2 linked regions of the Drosophila melanogaster genome follow. The protein of the gene in region 1 purifies or fractionates together with the protein of each later gene. This does not show direct contact. Each region holds a gene or a part of one and is shown in the gene's direction. Other genes may lie near its edges. The genes, in order: mtd and HIP-R.

The links.
Region 2: the proteins of mtd (region 1) and HIP-R purify together in Drosophila melanogaster (affinity purification with mass spectrometry, with the first as the bait; one large-scale study listed by BioGRID). This does not show direct contact.

Annotation. Positions count from the first base shown.
Region 1 is NT_033777.3:5,320,633-5,325,624, reverse strand, and holds the start of mtd (mustard), read left to right. Parts: upstream 1-1,777; 5' UTR 1,778-2,186; intron 2,187-2,499; 5' UTR 2,500-2,637; intron 2,638-4,992.
Region 2 is NC_004354.4:3,787,873-3,793,100, forward strand, and holds HIP-R (Hsc/Hsp70-interacting protein related), read left to right. Parts: upstream 1-2,096; 5' UTR 2,097-2,204; exon of another isoform or gene 2,205-2,257; 5' UTR 2,258-2,291; coding exon 2,292-2,464; intron 2,465-2,544; coding exon 2,545-2,666; intron 2,667-2,883; coding exon 2,884-3,530; intron 3,531-3,604; coding exon 3,605-3,796; 3' UTR 3,797-4,605; downstream 4,606-5,228. UniProt on the Drosophila melanogaster protein: One HIP oligomer binds the ATPase domains of at least two Hsc70 molecules dependent on activation of the Hsc70 ATPase by Hsp40. Stabilizes the ADP state of Hsc70 that has a high affinity for substrate protein.

The DNA of each region.
Region 1 (4,992 bases):
AACATTTTTTCAAAATAAAGTTGGAGTGGCGTTAGTTGGCTTATTCTAGTTCAATAGCACCAATGGCTAATTACAGGTTTGTCTTTACTTTTGCCAATAGCAAAACCAAAACACTACACTGTCAATTCTTTATGGCCATAGAGCCAATTAACATTCGGAGCTGAGTTCGTGTTGAAAGCAATGAGTTGGCTGTTTAAAGTCAAGATTCTTTAAACAGGTTGATAAACCTCCGATTGGTAACATTGGTTACCTCATACTTTACTTCGAAATATCTTAAACTTCACCCACTAGAATTATTCAAAAACTTAGAAATTGCTTCTACACTTTGCGAAGGTGGTGTTGTATGATTCCTACCTCACCTGCGACTGGTTTGATTAGAGACCCTGATAAGCTATGCTTATAGCCATAGCGTTAGCCATAGGTATAGCCATGTGCATAACCATAGTCATAGATTTAGTCATAGCGCTGGCAATACATGCGATTGCGTTTTTTAGTGGCCCCCAAGGCGCATTCAAAACATTTACATTTTAGTTCAGACAATTTATGATTGTGTAATAATATTGAAGGCTGAAAATTGTAATCGTCCGAGTCCGAAAAACTGTAAATAGTCAGAGGGGGGGGGGGGGTGAAGATGGAGGGTGCGAACGGGACGGAGAACGAGCGGCAGCTAAATGATGTTGCACTTTTTCTGATTTCGACGAGTTGCGTACTTTGAAATTTGCATAATTCGCAATTCGAGCCCAGTCATGCGTCTTAAATGAGGCAAAGAAAGAGGAAAAAGTCAGAGGTTGCAAGCTAAATGGAAGAAATGCCCAAGGTCGGATTGTAAATTCTATTTTTTCTGTTTCTCCGCGTTGAAATGCAGTTCACCTTAGGGCAAATTCTCTGGGCAATTGCTGCGGCCTTGGCGGTAATTTCCTTGTCAGGTGAAAAACACAGGTGGCAGGGGGTTGGCCAGATAATTGTACCACTTTCACCCCCTCAACAGTGACCTACATTAAAGTTGAGGAAATGCATTTGCCGCCGAGGAGCTGGGAGCGAAATCAAATAATTACAGCGGCGTCACATGGCGTATGAGTAATTTAAATGAAATTACAAAGTCGCCGCAGCTGACTAACCTCCAAAAAATAATAGCAATTGCAATTCAAAACAAGTTCATTGCACATGCGCCCCAGCATTAGAAGCAACAAATCGAATGGGAAACGTACCGAAACTTTGATACCCTTTTCGGATTAGATGATGATATAGATGGTATCTAGCACTGCTACAAATACTAAATAATCGAACTGAACCCATTTGAACGATTTTAATTAGTTACATTTTATTACTTGTAACTTATCTACTCTGTCTATCTACTGTTCAACTGTGATAAAGTTAGAGTATCTTTCAAGATCCTCTGCCATGGTGTCAACACTCCTGGAAAGTGTATTAAAATCAATCGGCAGTCGTACGTTTCGCTGGCAACATGTGTCCAAACATCGCCAAGTGGAAGTGGAAATAAACGGAAATAAGCCAAACTCAAGCAGGTTTAGGTTTTTGGCCTGCAACAAAAACAAAAACGAGTTTGTTGCAGCACATGTGGATGTGTATGTGTATGTGGATGTGGCTGCCCCGCGAGACACGACATATGGACATATTGCTTGTAACATTTATACAAATGTACTCTGTTCGCTTCATAAAGTTAGAGTATCGTGCATGTTGCCCCGCAACATGTGCTCTCGCTGGCAACATGTGTCTAAACATCGGTAAGCAGACAACTTTTTTGTGGATCGATTCGATCAGTTTAAGTTTTCCATTTGCACCGAACGCAACGCAAGTAGCTCCCACAAAATCGGAATCAGCCGAAACGAAAACGGAACACAAATAACAGAACGCGCGCGCTCAAAGTCAGTGCTTGATACTAAGATATAGCACAGATATACTACATACATATGTATGTGGAGCATCGGCGATAAATATTGTAAAATTATTTTTAAAAATATGTTCGACTCGTGTGCGACTGTTTGTGCGACGCCGACCAACGCAGTCCGCAAATTATTTTTCTGCACTCATTTCATTTGGCGATTGTCCGTTGCAATTCGGCCATTGGTGTCCGTTTTCCTGGCGAAAGAAATATATTAAGTTGTTTAATTTAACATCCGTGCTCGGGAATTCGCTATAACAGCATATACACGAGAGTTTTTTAAGTGAGAGCGAGATTTTTCTGCAAAAAATATTAATGCAACTGTAAATAACATTGCCCCCCACTTTTGTTTTAAATGGCTTAAATTTAACGCCCTGTCAAAATTGAGTTTAACATTAAGGTCATTTGAGTTCAAAAAGTCCCTTGCAAGCAAGCAATTAATCGAAAGCATACATGTTTCAAGGCATTTAATTTAAAGTAAATTACGCGGGGCATTCTCACAATTGACCAAATTTTCGCTGAGTCTCGGACTCCCAAAAATTCCGAGTGCATAAAAGTAATTATAATTATACTAATTCAACCACAAATGTCCACAGAATATACAAGTATAATTGAAAATATAAGTGTACGCGAGTGCCAATACTGTGAAATCAATACGAATGAGAAATGTGACTAACCAATCAAAGGAAAGCAATTGTGCCAAACCTCGTTGAAAGACAACAAATTAAAAAAAGGTATAGAAATATTTGCAACCATTTGTGATGCAAATGGTAATGGATGCAAAATAATCGTAATTAATGGCTGCGCTTGCAATTTAATTTTTGGCCCAGCTTGGCTTTAATTTCGTCTCTCTGCTTCTCTCCTTCGCCATTCTGTTTTGCGATTGCTTTAGGCGCGGCTTGCGGTTTTTTCGGATTCTTGGTGAAGCGAACGGTTTTATTTTAGTCGCTTGGCTTAGTAAACCGTTCTAATCGGCATTATTCGCAGATTCTTTTGGCTTTTTCTTTGTTCGTCGCTTATTTGGCTTGCCTTTCCAGCTGCGAAATAGAAGCAACTTAGTTTATTATATTCCTCAGCTGCAGGTCATGACATTCGTGAAATATCTTTTTGTTAGTGCCTATTATTGCTTACGACGACTGGAAGCAGCAAAGAAAAAATATAAAAAACAGCTGACCACGTCAAAAGAAACCAATGAAAAAAAAACTTGGCCAACAATGACGAATACGGCGAACACAAAAGCAAAGACCTACGCCTAATTTAAGGTCATCAGCACAGTAAAACAACAACACTGGCAATAAGCCGAGGAAGAAGCAGCATTTACTGCTTATGGCTACGAAAAAAAAAACTAAAGTCGCCGGCGTCTCTGATTTTTTCTTCGGATTTTCTGATTTTGTCTATGGCCCTTCCATGCCATTTGCGTGGAGAATTATCGGGCAACGGCACAAAAAGCCATGATTGCACGTACACCAATGCACTCGCGTTCGTGTTCGTACATCCCAAATAAAACAGTAACAGTTGCTGCTCCCCCTCCCAAAAGCTCAGCTCATTTGCCTTCTCGGTTTGAACAGCAAAATGGAAAGAAAGCCCCTAGAAAACAGTGATGATAGTACTGTAGTTAAACCAGGTTTCCAGTATTTAACCATTGTATCCATTTTATATATCTTAAATTTCGTATACTTACCATACATACATACTTACAAGAAGATAAAAGCTTAAATAAGTAATTATTATTAATAATTATTGATACCTAAAGAAGTTTCCAAACTCCCAACCTATCTATGTAGATCCAAACCAGTTTCGAAAATCCGGCAGACTGAAAGGCGACTGTTGCGGATGCTTTGGTTTTCCGACGAGAAAAGTGGAAAAGTGGAAGGCAGCCCCACTCGAGATAATCGATGGCTTTGGTCTTCTCTCTCGTGCGCTTGTTTATGTTTTTTATAAATAGCTCAAAAAATGCGTAAAATGAGCAGGCAAAAACAAGGTATAATTAGAATAAATGTTAAGCCCAACCACTGACACATGTACACTAAAACTGGGCGTGCAAGAATATATCTGGTGAGGTTTTGGGCCAGAACGTGTAATGCATTTCTATCTATAAGTTGTGATACGCTCCATCAACACTTGATAGCATAATTAATGCGGATTAACATTTCAGCTTCTATTTCGACGCAAGTCGGCACAAAGCGTTCGTATAATATTTATTGACAAAGCCATTTATCACGATGTCCGCTGGGTGTGCATAATTTTGGGGCCACGTGATGTCGCCCGACTTATAGATAGTGGTACACAGCGAGTACAAAATTATATACCTACATATGTATTTAGAAGTCAGTACTATCTAAAATAAAGGTGGGGTGGCCCACCTAAAAGTGCGACTGACTGACTATGCAAATCAATTGAAAGTGTCAGGAAGCGATGGGGAGAAATGGAAGTGGGAAAATTAAAACGAGCAGCAAGGGGGGTAAATTGGAAATAATAATTTTAAAAACCAACACGGAAATGCAAATTCCCATTTTGTATCTACGCATAGCCGCATCTGGTTTTAACTTTTATTGATTTTAAGTGACACGTCCACGCGATTTGAACGAGGAAGTCTCTGAGTCACTTAGCTGTTGTGTCATTATTGCACAATGATTATGGCTGCCAAAAGGAGGCTTGTCGCAGGACAGAATATTTAAATCTGCCTGTTCAATAATTAAGTATACAAGCATGAGTACTTTTATGAGCTGCTTTTCGCCGTGTTGTCTCCGCATGTGATTTATTTATGGTCTTTTGTTTGCCCCTGCCCACTGTGCCTGACTTCGTCGAATTCTACTTGGCCCGGACAAAGAGCCTTACTGCTGTTTGTTTGCTCAAGTTGGCGTGAAAACAGTGTCATAATTACACAAATAAATATAAGTCTCTAGATATGTATTTATAGGTATGTACATATGTATACATACCTGTCGGTGCGCCGAAATTCAAACAAAGGCACTCGAGATGTCCGTCCAATCGCATTCAGATATTCGAGACCACGAGAGCACTCTCGATTATCATCTAATACTTTGTGACTGGCCGTCGACAATCGATGATTTAATAAATTCCCTGTT
Region 2 (5,228 bases), on another chromosome or scaffold:
TTGTAATGCACTATGCGTAAATTGTATTAAATATTAATATCCAAGGCATATTAATAGAAATATATATACATATATAAAACCTGCAAAAAAAAAACATGAACTACCAAGCTAAATGTTTCAATAATATATAGATCTATATGTATGTAAAACCGATATGAAATCTGCCTACAGCCAGACAAAAAAAACCTTAAAGAGAAAGATCAGAAGAGGAACAGAAGAGTATGAGCGGGGAGTGAAAGATGCAAGATTCATCCAAAAGCGAAAAACATTTTTTTCTTAAGTCTACGCAAAACAAAATGAATGAAAAGTAACCCGAAATTAGTTTTTAGAGTATAAGTATAAAAAATGGAAAATATCGCGATAGAAAGAAACAAAAATGGACGCAGATAAGGACGGCAAGCAGAACAAGAGTAATAAAGCAGCGGCAAGAACTCCCTAAAAATAGCAAAGAGCATTGTAAATATTTATATAAATAATTTATGCCTAATTAAAGTTTAAATTAATGAAGAAAACCAGCAAAAAAACATAAAAAACCAGAAGAACCATTTCAGATTTGTATGCAAATTTGTATATGTACGTACTTTCCTTTAATTTTAGCCAATCAGTTTGTAAGATTAAATTTTTTTTTTGCATCTCTATAAAGAATAATGATATGAGGATAATGATTCCGATTTTTTTTTCCGTTTAATGTAACCGTTAGAATTAGCCCATAATGGTCGATATCTAAATGTGTGTGTATATCGATGTGATGTCATCGATTGTCGATAACGATTGGATGCGAGTGTGTGTTAATTTAATTTGATAAAAGATAAAGGAAAGCAAGGAATGTGAAGATAATGAAAGGAGATGCATAGAGAATGAGAGCGAATCTATCTATTATATAATTATGTAAAATGCACATCTTTAAATTATAAATTATACATATTTAAAAGGAAACTATTATTATTATTTTGATTACCATTATCATTATTTTTTATTATCACTTAACGGTTTCGGTTTGATCCACAGCGAAACCAACAACAACCAAGAAACAGAAACAACAAAAAGAGAAACAAAATAAACAAGCGAAATGTTTGATAAAAAAAACCACGAGATGTTTTAATTTATTTGTCTTTAATTCTTCGATTTTATTGAGTTTTTCATAGAGAAAGTTGTCACACTCAAGAACACACACGCAAGCGTATAAAGCTAAACAAATTAATACCTACTAAGTGTTTAAATAGTACTAAACGAATCAAAATATAAATACTTAAAAAGAAAAAAAAACGAAAATAAAAATAAAAACAGCAGCAGAAAAAAACGATGAGACAGTTGAGCAGACGAGAAAAACAAAGCCCATTAAATTATTTGTTGAGTATTTTATTAAAAAATAATTACGATAATAATTAAAAAGTTTAAATTGAACGAATTACGAAAAACAAACTGAATATACATATATGTGTGCATATATACATATATGTATGTATTATATATAAACAAATTATTTAATAGTTATGCTAAAAAATTATTTAAAGTGAACGGATATGAAAAATATTTGTATGCGTGCGAGCACGGAGAGAAGGGCACTCAGAATAGGCCATCGACACCACCCACTCCCTTCCGATACCCGAACATCACCACCAGTTTTCACCATTTTCTGACCCTTAACCCCTTCAACCAGACACACACCAAACACAAGAAAAGGCGAAGAAAGCCGAAAAAAAAACAATGCAAACACGAAATAGGCGGCGACGACAGAGATAAGCGCGAAGAAGATACTAAATCAATAAGTAAACATAAAAATTAATTAATAAATTAATTCCAAAACAAAATGAAAAAAGCTAAAAAAAAAACATCAAGAAAACAAAAGACAAAAGCAAACAAAAAACATGACGAAACATTGAAAATAAAAAAATACTAAAATGATTAACAGAAAACTGTTTTAATGTCAATGGGGGCAGACATAAACTTCTTCAGCAATAGTTATGGACTTAATTGTGGCTCATTACATTCTCGATCCTATGTGAATATATATGTATTTAGTTTTGGGGTATGTGGCGGAAAATGGCTGTTATCTTTTTAAAAGTTGTCACATTTTCCAGCACTATCGTACGCACAAAATACTGAAAAATACAAGAGCGAAGCGATAAATACCGTCGATTAATTCTCAGTACTTTTTCATGGTATTTATGCATACCAATCGATAGGGCAGAGCAAAAGTGGACGTAAAGCTAAGCAAATATTGCTTATTAATAATATTAATATATTAATATATCAGATCTGAAAACATCGAGACAAAACGGAATTCAGAAATGGCTTTCACAATGCAAACCGGGGATCTGAAGAAGCTGAAGTACTTCATCGACTTTGCGCTTGAGAATCCCACCTTCTTGAACATGCCGCAGCTGCAGTTCGTCAAAGATTTCGTGGAGAAGTTTGGTGGCACGGTGCCGCCTGGCCAATTCAACGGTGGCAGCGCCGGAGGGTAAGTTAACCGAACTATTTGACCAATTTTCAAAACAACACGATTGTATGATTTGCTCATCCCGCGGCTTGTTCTTCCAGCAAGTGCCCATTCGGCGGTGTTGCTGGTGCCAAGGCCAACGAGCCGGCCAATGCCCCCGAGGATAGCGAGGACGAAAAGTCCCTCTCCGATCCTGAGTCGGACGTGGAGCTGGACATGGAGGGTGAGTGTGCAAATTTTGCCGAGTCACGTGGTCATTGGGGGTCACAACCCTGGACTTTGATGCGTTGCTGTCGCAGTGCTGGCAGTTGCTTTATCTTATATCCTTTCGACACTGCAAACTTAGCGTTTACCCAAATTCGAATCCTGCAGTATTAATATATGTAATACGCCAATTAAAACTATGTATCTTCTATCCGTATTACTTCCGACGCCTTCAGGTGTGATCGAGGCGGACAGCGACCCCGCCCAACCCATGGGCAACTACAGCAAGAAGGCCACCGAAGAGGAGGTGGAGCAGGCGAGCGAGCTGCGCGCCCAGGCGGCCTCCGCTTACGGCCAGCAGAAGTTCGACGAGGCCATCGCCTTGTACACCAAGGCCATTGAACTGAGCCCGGGTAATGCCCTTTTCCACGCTAAGCGTGGTCAGGCCTTCCTCAAGCTGAAGAAGCCGAATGCCTGCATTCGGGACTGCGACGTGGCGCTGGAACTCAACTCGGATTTGGCGGCTGGCTACAAGTTCAGGGGACGCGCCCGTCGCCTCCTCGGAGATTTTGAGCTGGCTGCCCATGATTTGCGCCAAGCATGCAAGCTGGACTTTGACGAGGAGACAGACGAGTGGCTAAAGGAGGTCACTCCGAATGCCAAGAAAATCGAGCAGCATCGCTTGAAGCAGGAGCGTCGCCAGGCAGAGCGTAAGATCAAGGAACGCCAGCGGGATCAGAGGCGCGCACGTAAGGAGCAGGAAAAGCACAATGCCAGCTCTGGTGGATCATCTGGAGAATTTTCCGGTGGGAATCCTGGTAACGGAAATATGTCTGATATACTGGGCGCCATGTCAGATCCCGAGGTGTCAGCCGCCATTCAGGTTCGTGAATACTACTTTTCTATTTCTAATACAAATGCAGTAATCATATCGTTGTTATTTATTAACTTTCGTAGGACATTTTGTCAAATCCGGGTAACATCACAAAGTACGCGTCGAACCCGAAGATATACAACCTTATCAAGAAGATTGTGCCCGGTGGAGATGTGGGTGCTGCCTTTGGCCAAGCGGGTGAAAAGGCTGGAAAGCCGAGCGAGCCTAAGCCTAAAAAGGACTCCGCCGACTTCGTCGATGACGGTTTGGACTAAGGTTTAGAAATGGGGCAGTAGTAAGACTGAAACATGCGTCGATAAAAAGAAGTTAACAACCAATTACACGAAATCGAGCGAGATTACAAAACAACAAAGAAAGAGAAAGCAACAGAGTGCGGTGAAGAAGATGGACTACACGAAAAACAAAAGGGAAAGCGGCTGCCTTACACATTTTTGCAGCTGAGAAAAAACAAACATTTCCTAAGCTTTAACTTAACCAACACGTAAAAGAACGGGCGACAATGGAGAAAATTCAAATATTCAAAATACTACAAGCAGTCAGAAGAATAAGCAACATTTATTTAAATCGAGAAGAAAGAGATGTTGGAGATGCTGGAGACGCTTCTTCACATATTATTGAAAAGCATACTTGCGGCCATTAAAGTGGCAAATGAAACTATACAAAGGAGCTAGAATATGCTTAAAAACTTATCACATTTGCAGTTCACAGGTAAATCAAAAGATTGTCCTGTGACGAACAAAACATAAATGTTTAGACGTCAAGTCAGATTCAAGGGTGCCGATCGATCTAGTTGAACTAAAGCTCGAGAAACAACCAAAAGAAAATAAAAAATATATATATGTTCAATAATATTAGCCTAAATTACCGAGAACGAAGAAACGGATAAAACTAATCGCATCATTTGGTCAAACAAAATTGTACTGAGTAGGATTTAAATCATATTGTAAGCAAATGCATTTAGCCCCCCAACATGAAAGCAATCGCCCATTCATTCACACACTCATTCACACACTCATTCAACCAGTGATCAATGGAAATAAATAAACGAATCAACAAGAACCCGAATTGCTAATGTCCATATTTTTTGGTAAACGGGTAAAAGGGGAGATACTTTTGCTTTTTTTTCGAGCGGGTTGGACAGATGGAGCCGTAGTCCCTTAAACTATCCGGCGCATCACCTGTGTGGGTTGCTCACTTTGTATGAAGGACATTGGGTACGCATGGTGTATGAAAGCGTCGATTAGACGCTTCAATGGCTGCACCCTGCACCCTGGATCCAGAACCTATCTACCGCACCCCGCCCCATGTCAGCGCGAAATTGGCTAACGGACAGCTTGGCGCACATGTTCGATTATGGCCAAATCGAGCGACCAAGCAGAACCAGCGGCACATGACCTGGGCTCAGCGATGCCAAGACCTGGGTGGTTGTACCTAGAGGTACTTGATTGCTTTTTAAACTCAGCTTGGTACAGCGTACACGACTGATTATTTAGAAGCTATGACAGCTTTCTTTGCTTTGATATTTTTCATATTTATATATAAATTATAAATATATATTTATAAGCAGGTGATATGGTTGAAACATATATCAACGAATATGTCAAATATAATACAGTGAAGTGTCTGCATTATTTTATTGTACCTGCGCCATCACAGGTACGGCTCCTCTTTCCATCGACTGCAGAC